2 linked regions of the Caenorhabditis elegans genome follow. The protein of the gene in region 1 interacts with the protein of each later gene in a pairwise test. Each region holds a gene or a part of one and is shown on either strand. Other genes may lie near its edges.

Evidence for each region.
Region 2: the proteins of tsp-12 (region 1) and sma-6 interact in a two-hybrid assay, tested with the Caenorhabditis elegans proteins (one study listed by BioGRID).

The regions. Positions count from the first base shown.
Region 1 is NC_003282.8:10,148,622-10,152,601, reverse strand, and holds tsp-12 (Tetraspanin-12), read left to right. Parts: upstream 1-1,999; 5' UTR 2,000-2,048; coding exon 2,049-2,108; intron 2,109-2,161; coding exon 2,162-2,258; intron 2,259-2,354; coding exon 2,355-3,046; intron 3,047-3,091; coding exon 3,092-3,169; 3' UTR 3,170-3,436; downstream 3,437-3,980. Other genes in the region: copg-1 (Coatomer subunit gamma), read right to left, coding at 1-264, 544-568; pigs-1 (GPI transamidase component PIG-S), read left to right, coding at 3,565-3,980. UniProt on the Caenorhabditis elegans protein: Functions redundantly with tsp-14 isoform a to regulate body size, embryonic and vulva development. Functions redundantly with tsp-14 (isoforms a and b) to regulate cell fate specification in the postembryonic mesodermal M lineage and male development.
Region 2 is NC_003280.10:6,322,605-6,328,008, forward strand, and holds sma-6 (Serine/threonine-protein kinase receptor sma-6), read left to right. Parts: upstream 1-1,879; 5' UTR 1,880-1,884; coding exon 1,885-2,024; intron 2,025-2,071; coding exon 2,072-2,222; intron 2,223-2,440; coding exon 2,441-2,530; intron 2,531-2,575; coding exon 2,576-2,687; intron 2,688-2,731; coding exon 2,732-2,887; intron 2,888-2,929; coding exon 2,930-3,023; intron 3,024-3,112; coding exon 3,113-3,193; intron 3,194-3,238; coding exon 3,239-3,375; intron 3,376-3,422; coding exon 3,423-3,726; intron 3,727-3,802; coding exon 3,803-3,974; intron 3,975-4,017; coding exon 4,018-4,416; intron 4,417-4,461; coding exon 4,462-4,536; 3' UTR 4,537-4,751; downstream 4,752-5,404. Other genes in the region: C32D5.4 (uncharacterized protein), read right to left, coding at 1-475.

The sequences.
Region 1 (3,980 bases):
CCATGCGGCGTAGACTGACATCCTTGCTCTGCCAAAGCTTTGTGACACCAAAAAAGGCCTCAGTTGCTTCTGTTCTTCCGATTGATTCTCCTTGTTGAATGATGTAAATCAACTTCGACAAGATGAAACAACATTTCCTCGCGTTGATCGGTGTCTCGTTGAAGGCGCGAGCTTCCTGAAGAACGGAGGTCTTATCGAGGTGAGCATAGACGTTTCCCCCGGTTTCCTCATCCTTCTTGTTGGTCTTCATTCTTGAAGATTGACCTGGAAAATAAAACCATTACATTTTTTGTGGCGCGAAGAATGTATAACGGAGTAACTCAAAATCATTCGGCCGACTTCGAATTCTGATGGCAAAAATTAGGAACCCAACATTTATGATTTTTCGAGGATACACTGTTTTGCTACTGATTAATCGAATAATGAGAAAAACCAACGTGTTCTATTGAGAAGCGAGAGAAAAGTCATGCACAATCAAGGAGCGACTACAAGCACAAAGAAATTACAAAATAATAAATCACAATCACGACGTCTCAAAATTACCTCCTTTAGTTTTTGGGGCACTCATTTTTACGTGTTATTTTTCAAACTTTCAGCTTCTGAAAATTTTCAACTGTGCATAAATGATGGAGATTAGTTCAAAGTGAGTCAATCTGAATCGAATAACTGTTATTTGGAAGATTTAAAGTGATATTATATTGACGGACGAACAGTTGCGAAGTTATTTGGAAAGTCATACATACACAGTTGGTCGCGAGGTTTACAATGTAAATTTAACATTTGAAACATTTACTGCGTGATTAATCACCTCAAAAATTTGAACCCTTATTTATAAAACATTTTTCAGCTAATAATATAAATAAAATATTAGGGAAAATACGTAAAATTGAAAACCAGACTTTTCTTCTATCGCTGCAACGTGTCTGTCTGCAACTTGTCGTCAAATGTGTTGTTCAGTCCGTAAACACTCGTTGTCCACCGTATTTCTCATTGAATTTCCCTCCATTTATTAAATGAATGCGGCCACGGCCGGGCATGTGATTTCATAAGTTTAACTGTTTCTTTTGTGTACTTTATATTTATTAAGTATCCCCAAAACTTGGTATTTTCAAAATTATTCACTGCAAAGTGCAAATGTATTTCAAATTCACAGAACTTGTGAATAATTTAGAAGCTTTCTTGCATTCCCAATGACTGGGACCATGTTTCGAGCAGTTTTACGCCACCATTTATCAGAGTAGAATCAGGGCTCCCTGGAGACTTGATGTGAGAACAAAGAAGCTTTTTTATTTTTCTTGAAGTCTGCCCAGTTTTTTTCACAACAATTCAAATTCTGCAATTTGGTTGCATTTGCATGCATGCTTTCTAACAAATAATTGCAAATGCTTCATTTTACATTGTTTTGAATTTTGAAGTATTTCTGAAAAATTAATCCCATTACCGATCCGTTTCTCGCCAGTTCTCCAACTCAAGGACATATTTTTGCTTCCCTTTATATAATTACACCTTCATGTTACCTCCCGTCGCTTTGTTCAAAAATACCCACTGGTTGGCAAAAATATTTGAATTATTGATCGTTGTAAGATACTAGTCTGATACTTTTCGTTTTTCCGTTCTCTTTTAATATCTCCATCGAATTCAATGAACTAATGGATGAAGGCGGCAATTGAAATCATTCGTTGCAAGCCTGCCAGACCACACAGTGAAAAACGAAGAGAAGGAGGCTAGTAACAAGATAACGTATTACGTTTCCTCCGTCTCTTTGGTTTTCCAATCTTTCTCGTAGTATAGACTATTGAAAAGAAAAAGAGGAAGCTGAAGGGGAACATTTCTTTCCTGGAAAATTTGTTTGCACACTCTTCTTGTCTTTATTGACACTTTATGTGACTCACTGGTCACTTTTTCTCTACCTGTCCGGTTTCCAGAAAGGATTATATTATGTATCTTTTTAAACTCTGACCTCATGTATTTTATTTTAATTAAATTTAAATTTTCCCAGCAAGATTGCTCGTCGGCCAGAACATCATCGGCCACTTCTCACCCATCAGATGGCCAATCGACGACAGCCGGTGCAACACAGAGCACAGCAGAGGGTATATAGACAATCGGTTAGTTGAAAAAATTTAGAATTTTTTTTTCAAAAACAATTATCGAGTTTCAGCAAATTCGTTATGCCCCCGGCGCTGGTGGTGAATCGGAAATCAGTTGTTGTGTTAAATATTCGGTTTTCAGTTTCAATGTAATCTTCTTTTTGCTAGGTTTGTTTTTTCAAATATAATCTTAAAATGCTCAAAAATTTTCGAAACATTTATTTAAAAATTGATCTTCAGAAAAAAAATAATATGAAATTTCAGGATTTGGTCTGCTCTTGTTCGGAGTTTGGGCACAAATTGAGAAGAACACCTTTGTAAATATGCTGAGTAAAGCATCGAAACTGTATCTCGATCCGACGTGGCCACTTCTCATCGTTGGATTTCTCACATTTATCATTGGTTTCAGTGGATGTGTTGGATCACTACGAGAGAATACATCCTTCCTTACATTCTATTCAACACTTCTTGGCCTTTTGCTCATCGCCGAATTCTCAGCAGGAGTATTCGCATATGCTTGCAGAGATCAACTTGATAACTATATTAGAAATCTATTGAACGATGTGGTAGTTGGATATAGAGATGATCCGGATCTTCAGCTATTGATTGATTCTATGCAAGAGACGTGGATGTGTTGTGGAATCAACGGAGCCGACGATTGGGATAGAAACACCTATTTTTCAATAGAAGCCAGAGAAGTGGCCTCTCCAGAAGCTGGCGGAGTTCCATTTTCCTGTTGTATCAACAGTAGTAAACTGGAATTCAAGAACTACTTCTGCGGGCACGGTGTTCGTTTAAAACCAGAAAGCCACATGGCAGCACATCTTGCGGCTCAACGTGTGATGGCCCACACTGCATCGATTTATACGGAAGGATGTCTGCCGAAACTTCAACTTTGGCTTAATAATAACATGCTATTAGTAGCCGTTTCGATGGTTATTATTGCAATAATCCAGGTATTAAATTCGAATGAAAAATTGATTATTAGTATTTAATTTCAGGTTCTCGGTATCTGTTTCGCTCAAAATCTCAAATCGGACATACTCGCTCAACGGGCAAAATGGTATTATACCCATTAATCAATCAAATAATCAATTAATCAACGAAATATTCTCTACCTTCCAATGTATTCACTTCTACGCAGCTTTCTTTCGACTTACCACAGCCTATGCCGGTCACAAAAAATTCATCCACTTTGCAAAATATACGTTCGATTCTCTAAAAGAAACCATTTGGTTTGTCACAACTTCCTCAACTTTTGCCTTCTTTGTTTCTTTTTCCCAAAACCCCATGTTTTTACTGGTATTTTCAAACTTTGTGAGATTCCAATGAAATTTTCATATTTTATCCGTCCGGATCCGTTTCGAAGTTTTAAACATGTTTTCTGTTATTTGCAGTGGCTTTAAAAATATATATATACTCAAAAGTCCAAATGAAATCATAAATTTCAAATCTAAAACTAAAATTTCACAGAATGACGGAAGATGAAGAAATGCCACAGGAAAGTTCGAAGAGTTTCAAGCAAAAAGCTCTAGACTTTTTACTGGGAAGACAAACGGAAACGGAAGAATATGGAGAAATAACACAATCATTTATCAATTATGTACACTCGGAACGCCCGTATAAGTTAGCTGCATCATTATCTTTTGTTATTCTTGTATTTTTCATCGGTATGCCAATGTGGCATTTTACAACTTCAACATATCGTTCAAACTTTCCCACATTTCCATCAAATCAATCAATAACTGTACCAATTCGTGTTATTTTTGTGATAACATCGGAAGATCTGAGAAATGATGTTAAAACTCTAATGAATGAGTTGGAAGTAAATATGACGAAGAAAGAAGTGGTGGCTCCATTGGATTTTACATGGACAACTCAGTTCATCGG
Region 2 (5,404 bases), on another chromosome or scaffold:
CACCAGTTGTGATGGGCAAAAGGCCAGCAAATGAGAGTCTGAGACCAGTCCGATCGTGCACAACAAATGGTGTATTGGTTGTGGACATGTGCGTCAAGAGACGTTTCATTTCATTCGGATTTTCTCGCATTTCGGCTTCTTCCGGCGGTGTAGTCATCACTTCGAAATCGTCTTCTTTGCATTTTAACATACTGCGTACGATGTTAATTTTTGATGAAAACGAAATAATCAAAAACTGATTTATTTTTTTCCAATCGTCAATATTTTTTCGTTTTGAAGTTCTTAGTTGGAATGTCACGGAATGAAATAGTGTGGCAGTAAAAATAATATTAGTTTCAAAACAATTCCCTTGCGTATTATTTATTGTCAGGAAAAAATATACATCATGAATCTTTTCCCATTCTTGTTGCCTTGGAGATTTCATTATTTTGTCGTCTTTTTTGGACTTCAATTTTATATTCTTGTTCCAGTACATTACATGTTTATATTCATAATGTGAGAACTTTTAAGCTTCATTGTGTTAAGCTGTAGTTTCAGAACTTTTTATACTTTCGCTTTTTGAAGCTTTCGGCAACCTTTGCCGGGACTGAACTTTCCAAAAACTCATAGAATCCTATAAAGTGTTTTTTTATTCTAAAACACTGGCACTGGTAATTAACTTAAGTATTCAAAACATTAGTTTCATTTTTTCTAAAATTTCTAGAAGCCCAGTATTGTGAATAAACTAAAGTGCCCTCAAAACGTATCATACTATTACAAAATTGATATTTCCGATAAGTGCTCAGAACTCTTTAAAAAATAATATTTGTCGAGTCCCCAGTAAACTATTAATATTTTATAAGTTGGGAACAACAAAGAAGGAAATGTAGAATCAGATTTTCATTGTCAAATAAATATCATTTTTGAATGACCAAAACTCAAAGCTTGTTTCAGATTTTTCAATATTTTCAGTTTTGGCAAATTTCCAAATTTTTAAATACTTCGGAATTCTTGCAAATTTTTGAGCTCTTCTTTGATCAAAAGTAGGATTATTGGTCGACTTTCAAAATTATGATAGGCGAAGCAATATTGTAACTTGTTATTTTGTTACTTTCCCTATTATGATTATTTTCCCCTGTGTTTGCCAAATTTTCCAAAAAAGTAAATTTTTAAGAAATTTCAAACGGTAAACCCCTACAACATTTGAATACAAAAAAATAAAACTCGTAGATTTTTTTTTGCCGACTTCTAGTTCTTCACTAATTTGTGACTATACATAAAAAATTTCAGTTTTTTTTGGTGTTACTATGGTATTGGGACATTTTTGCACTATAAGCATGGTTTCATGATATTTTCTTACTGACGATTTTAATTGTAGTACTATAAAAATTTGTCGTGCCCTTCCGAATCTTGTATTCATCCGGTGCCCAAAAATCGCTAAACTTCAAACGATAGAAACAATGAATAGATATTGAAAAAAAGAAACACCTGGTGCAACCCTCTTTTACATAAATCTAATCCATCTATTTTTCTCAGAAAAATGGCGCCACGCCATTTAATGACCCCGTCATTTTATGGGGTGGCGCGACAGAAAGGCGCCGCACTTCTACCTATTCTCCGGTCATACATATATCCATTTTGGCGCAACTTTTCCGTTCAGATCATTAGTATCATTAGGCGGACAAGTTGTCAAAAAGAACATTAAGTGAATGATGAGATAGTTAAGAGAGATAGTGTACTGATAGAAGAGGCCGTAGATTGAAATATTGTACGAAACGGAGAGGAAACTCGGCAAACAGTCTTTTCATCTCTACCTCTGTCTTTACTCGTTCTATTTTCATGTTTTTCGCAACTGACTTCATTAACAATATATTTTAATCAATTTATTTGCAAATTTCAGATTTAATGAACATCACCTTTATATTTATTCTCATTTTCGGATTTTTCAATACTCAAAAATGCTCAAAAGACTATGATCACTTTGACGATGAAGACTTAGCGTTGAGCATTCCAAAAAATGCAATAGGAGTTCCAAAGGAGTTCAGGTACATGAGTTTTTATATTTTATCAAAAATTCAGTTTTTCTTATCAGGCAACAAGTTTTAAAAGAGATGAAGCTTCGGAACAGACCCAATGATATTTTGAAAAATCGATGTTATTGCAATTATGATCAGTCGATATGTGGAAATAATATGACATGTGTGAAACAAGATGGAGCTGCTTGTTATCATGCCGTTGAAGAGGTAAAATTAACTTGTAGCTCTTGAAAGTTTCCGTTTTATTTTTTGGAATATTTTTACACCATGGAGGTTAGCAACATATGATCTAGGCGTTACCAGTTTTTTAATGAATGGATTTTTCTCATTTCTTGAAACTGACAAATTATAATAATTTTTTTTTTTTGAAAAATCGATGTTATTGCAATTATGATTATTTTCAAAATTATAAAAATAAATTTTAGGTTTATAACAAAGCTGAAAAACGAATGGAAACTCTTCATAAATGGGGATGTGCAACACTGGAAAGAGGAAGTGGAGCTTCACATTTGACGGTGTTTCATCGAGTTTTTTGAAATATTTCACCAGGTGTTTTTCAGTGTAATTCTTGGAGAGCAGCTCACCATTCTCCTAAAAGTATTGGTTGTTGCTATGAAGGTAACTATTGCAATAAGAATTTGATTCCGCCGGCATATGTTCATCATCACAAGGGTGAGTTTTTTTTTAATTTAAATTTTTTAACAGGGACTATTCAGAGAAAGCACTTCAAGAGAAAACTGACAATCCAGAAGACTATGATTCTCCACTGGAAAACATGACACGTGGAGGAAAAATGTTCATAATGGTATTTGCAACAGTCATGTCGGTTTTTGCAGTCATTGGATGTATTTATTTATGTATTACAAGAGCAGGTGAGACAGTTTTTAAATTACTAAATTGATATTTTGTTTCAGAAGAAAAATCTAAAGCCAGAGCCAGAGCCAAGACGGTGTCTCTGAAAACAGAATCAACATACATGGAGAGCAAATCAATGCTCGAAGACTCAGGGTTCGTTTTTATTTCCTAGAGTATTTGCGATATAGAGATATCATACCCATTATTTTGAAAGTGATGTTTTTAACAAATACAATTTTCAGAAGTGGTTCTGGGCAGGCTGCGTTGATCCAAAGGACAGTGAGACAAGATTTAACAATTATTAAAACAATTGGACAGGGAAGGTAAAATTAATTCTTATTTTAATCTTTGTTGCCTATATTTTTTAGATATGGAGAAGTTCGCAAAGCTCTGTATCGTGGAAGTTACGTGGCTGTAAAAACATTCTACACAACTGATGAAGATTCATGGAAAAATGAAAGAGATGTATATCAAACTAACATGATCAATCATGAAAATATCCTTCGTAAGCTATTTCAGTAAAATTACTTTGAATTTCAAGAATTGTTTCAGAATTCGTGGCGGCTGATATTTGGAGTGAGGAAGATTCAATGACAAAGATGCTTCTTATCACTGATTATCATGAACTGGGATCTTTATCAGATTATCTTTGCCGTGAAGAAACATTGACAACAGATGAAGCTCTTCGACTTATTCACAGTTGTATATGTGGTATTGAACATCTACATGCAGCTGTACACGGAACTGGAAGCTTTAGAAAACCTGAAATTGCACATCGAGATATTAAATCAAAGAATATTATAGTCAAACGACCAAATGTGTGTTGTATCGCTGATTTGGGTTTGGCACTACGATAGTGAGTTATTTCAAATGATGCATCTGAAAACCAAAGATTTAGTTGTTCTGAAATTTAGAAAGAATAATGTTTTCAGTCAAAACGACAAAATTCTCCCTGAAAAATTCAATGTTCAAGTTGGAACAAAACGATATATGGCTCCAGAACTGATATCAAACAAGTTGAATCCAAAAGATTTTTCTCAGTTCAAGATGGCAGATATCTACTCAATGGCACTTGTTATGTGGGAAGTTGCAATCAGGGTTGAGGTATGATTATTCAATGAGTTTAAAATAAAGGCCATGATTGTAGGTAAACACCTGTGAGGAAGTGTTAACTGTCGATGAGACCTCTCCTGATCACAGTGCATCAAGTGGTATCGGAGAGTCAGTTAGTTCATCTGGTAATATATCGAGAATGCATCTACAAAAAACAAATGTAGAAGGACATTCTACATCTCTGAAAGCAAAACAACATGTCCCACCATTCGATGGAATCGTGCACAATGATCCCAATTTTGACGAGATGAACGATGTAATTTGTGTACGTCGAATACGTCCACCACCGGATCTTGCCTGGAAAAACGTCCCAGCACTTAATGAATTGAGCAAGTTGATGGAAGACAGTTGGCATTCAATTCCACACTTCCGACATTCTGCTCTTAAATTGAAAAAAGAAATGGCTGAGTTGATCAAAAACCCCGACAGACAGGTAATTCAACACGTTAAGGAGCTATATCTAACTCTATGTTTTCAGAATCAATCGCAGCGTAAAGTTGAATTCCAACAGCAAGACAGTGGCCTTGTTGAGTCAGCCACCAATCAATCTTAACCCACTTTCTGATCTTACTTTCGTTGTACCAAAATTTTTGGCTTCTTTAAAATCAATTTTACTTTTTCAGTTTTGTTCATATTTCCACAACGGTCAAAATTTAAAGCGATCTCTCTAATAATTTCCCATCAATTTTTTAATTGTGCAACTCTTATGAACTTGTTCTCATCTCGATTTACTGCAATTTTTGTGAATAAACATTGTTCCAGACCTGTACGTTCGTGTTGTAATTATGCGACATTATTGTCCATCATTGCCTAATATTTCCTTGATAGATTGCCGATAAGACAAATTCTTAACTTGCGCTCCCTGTGGCAGAAGACGGAGCAAACAAAATTATCAGCTCAACCATGTTTAAATGTACGTTTATTATCTCTCTATCTGAATCTATCTGGATTGGTGTGCACTGCATTTGTGAGCAAATATAGGCATACTTGTACGTGGTTTGATAAGATAATACTGCACCGTTAGACAACTCTTTTGGGTGAAACAAAAGGGAGACAACTGCAAGTTGCATCAGTTGGAACAATGAAACATTAATTCGTTAAAACACAAAGCACATCTGATATCATTTTCACAATTTATTTCGTTTATCACATATTTTAGAAGATCATCCTTTTGTAAAGTTAAAAGTGGATTCATGATATTTTAATTTTGACAAATCTCGACTAGAAAATTTTTAAGGATATCAAATATTTCAAGAAATTTCTGCACTGCAAGTTACGGCAAAATGTCCATCTGTCTGGATTTATTTTGTAGGTGAATCACTTGACTGTAGAAATCGAATATGATGCATGCAACTAAGTCTTTATTTCACAAAGCTTTTTAAAGTATTTTTTCAATTGTAAATTTGATAAATTCAATTTTA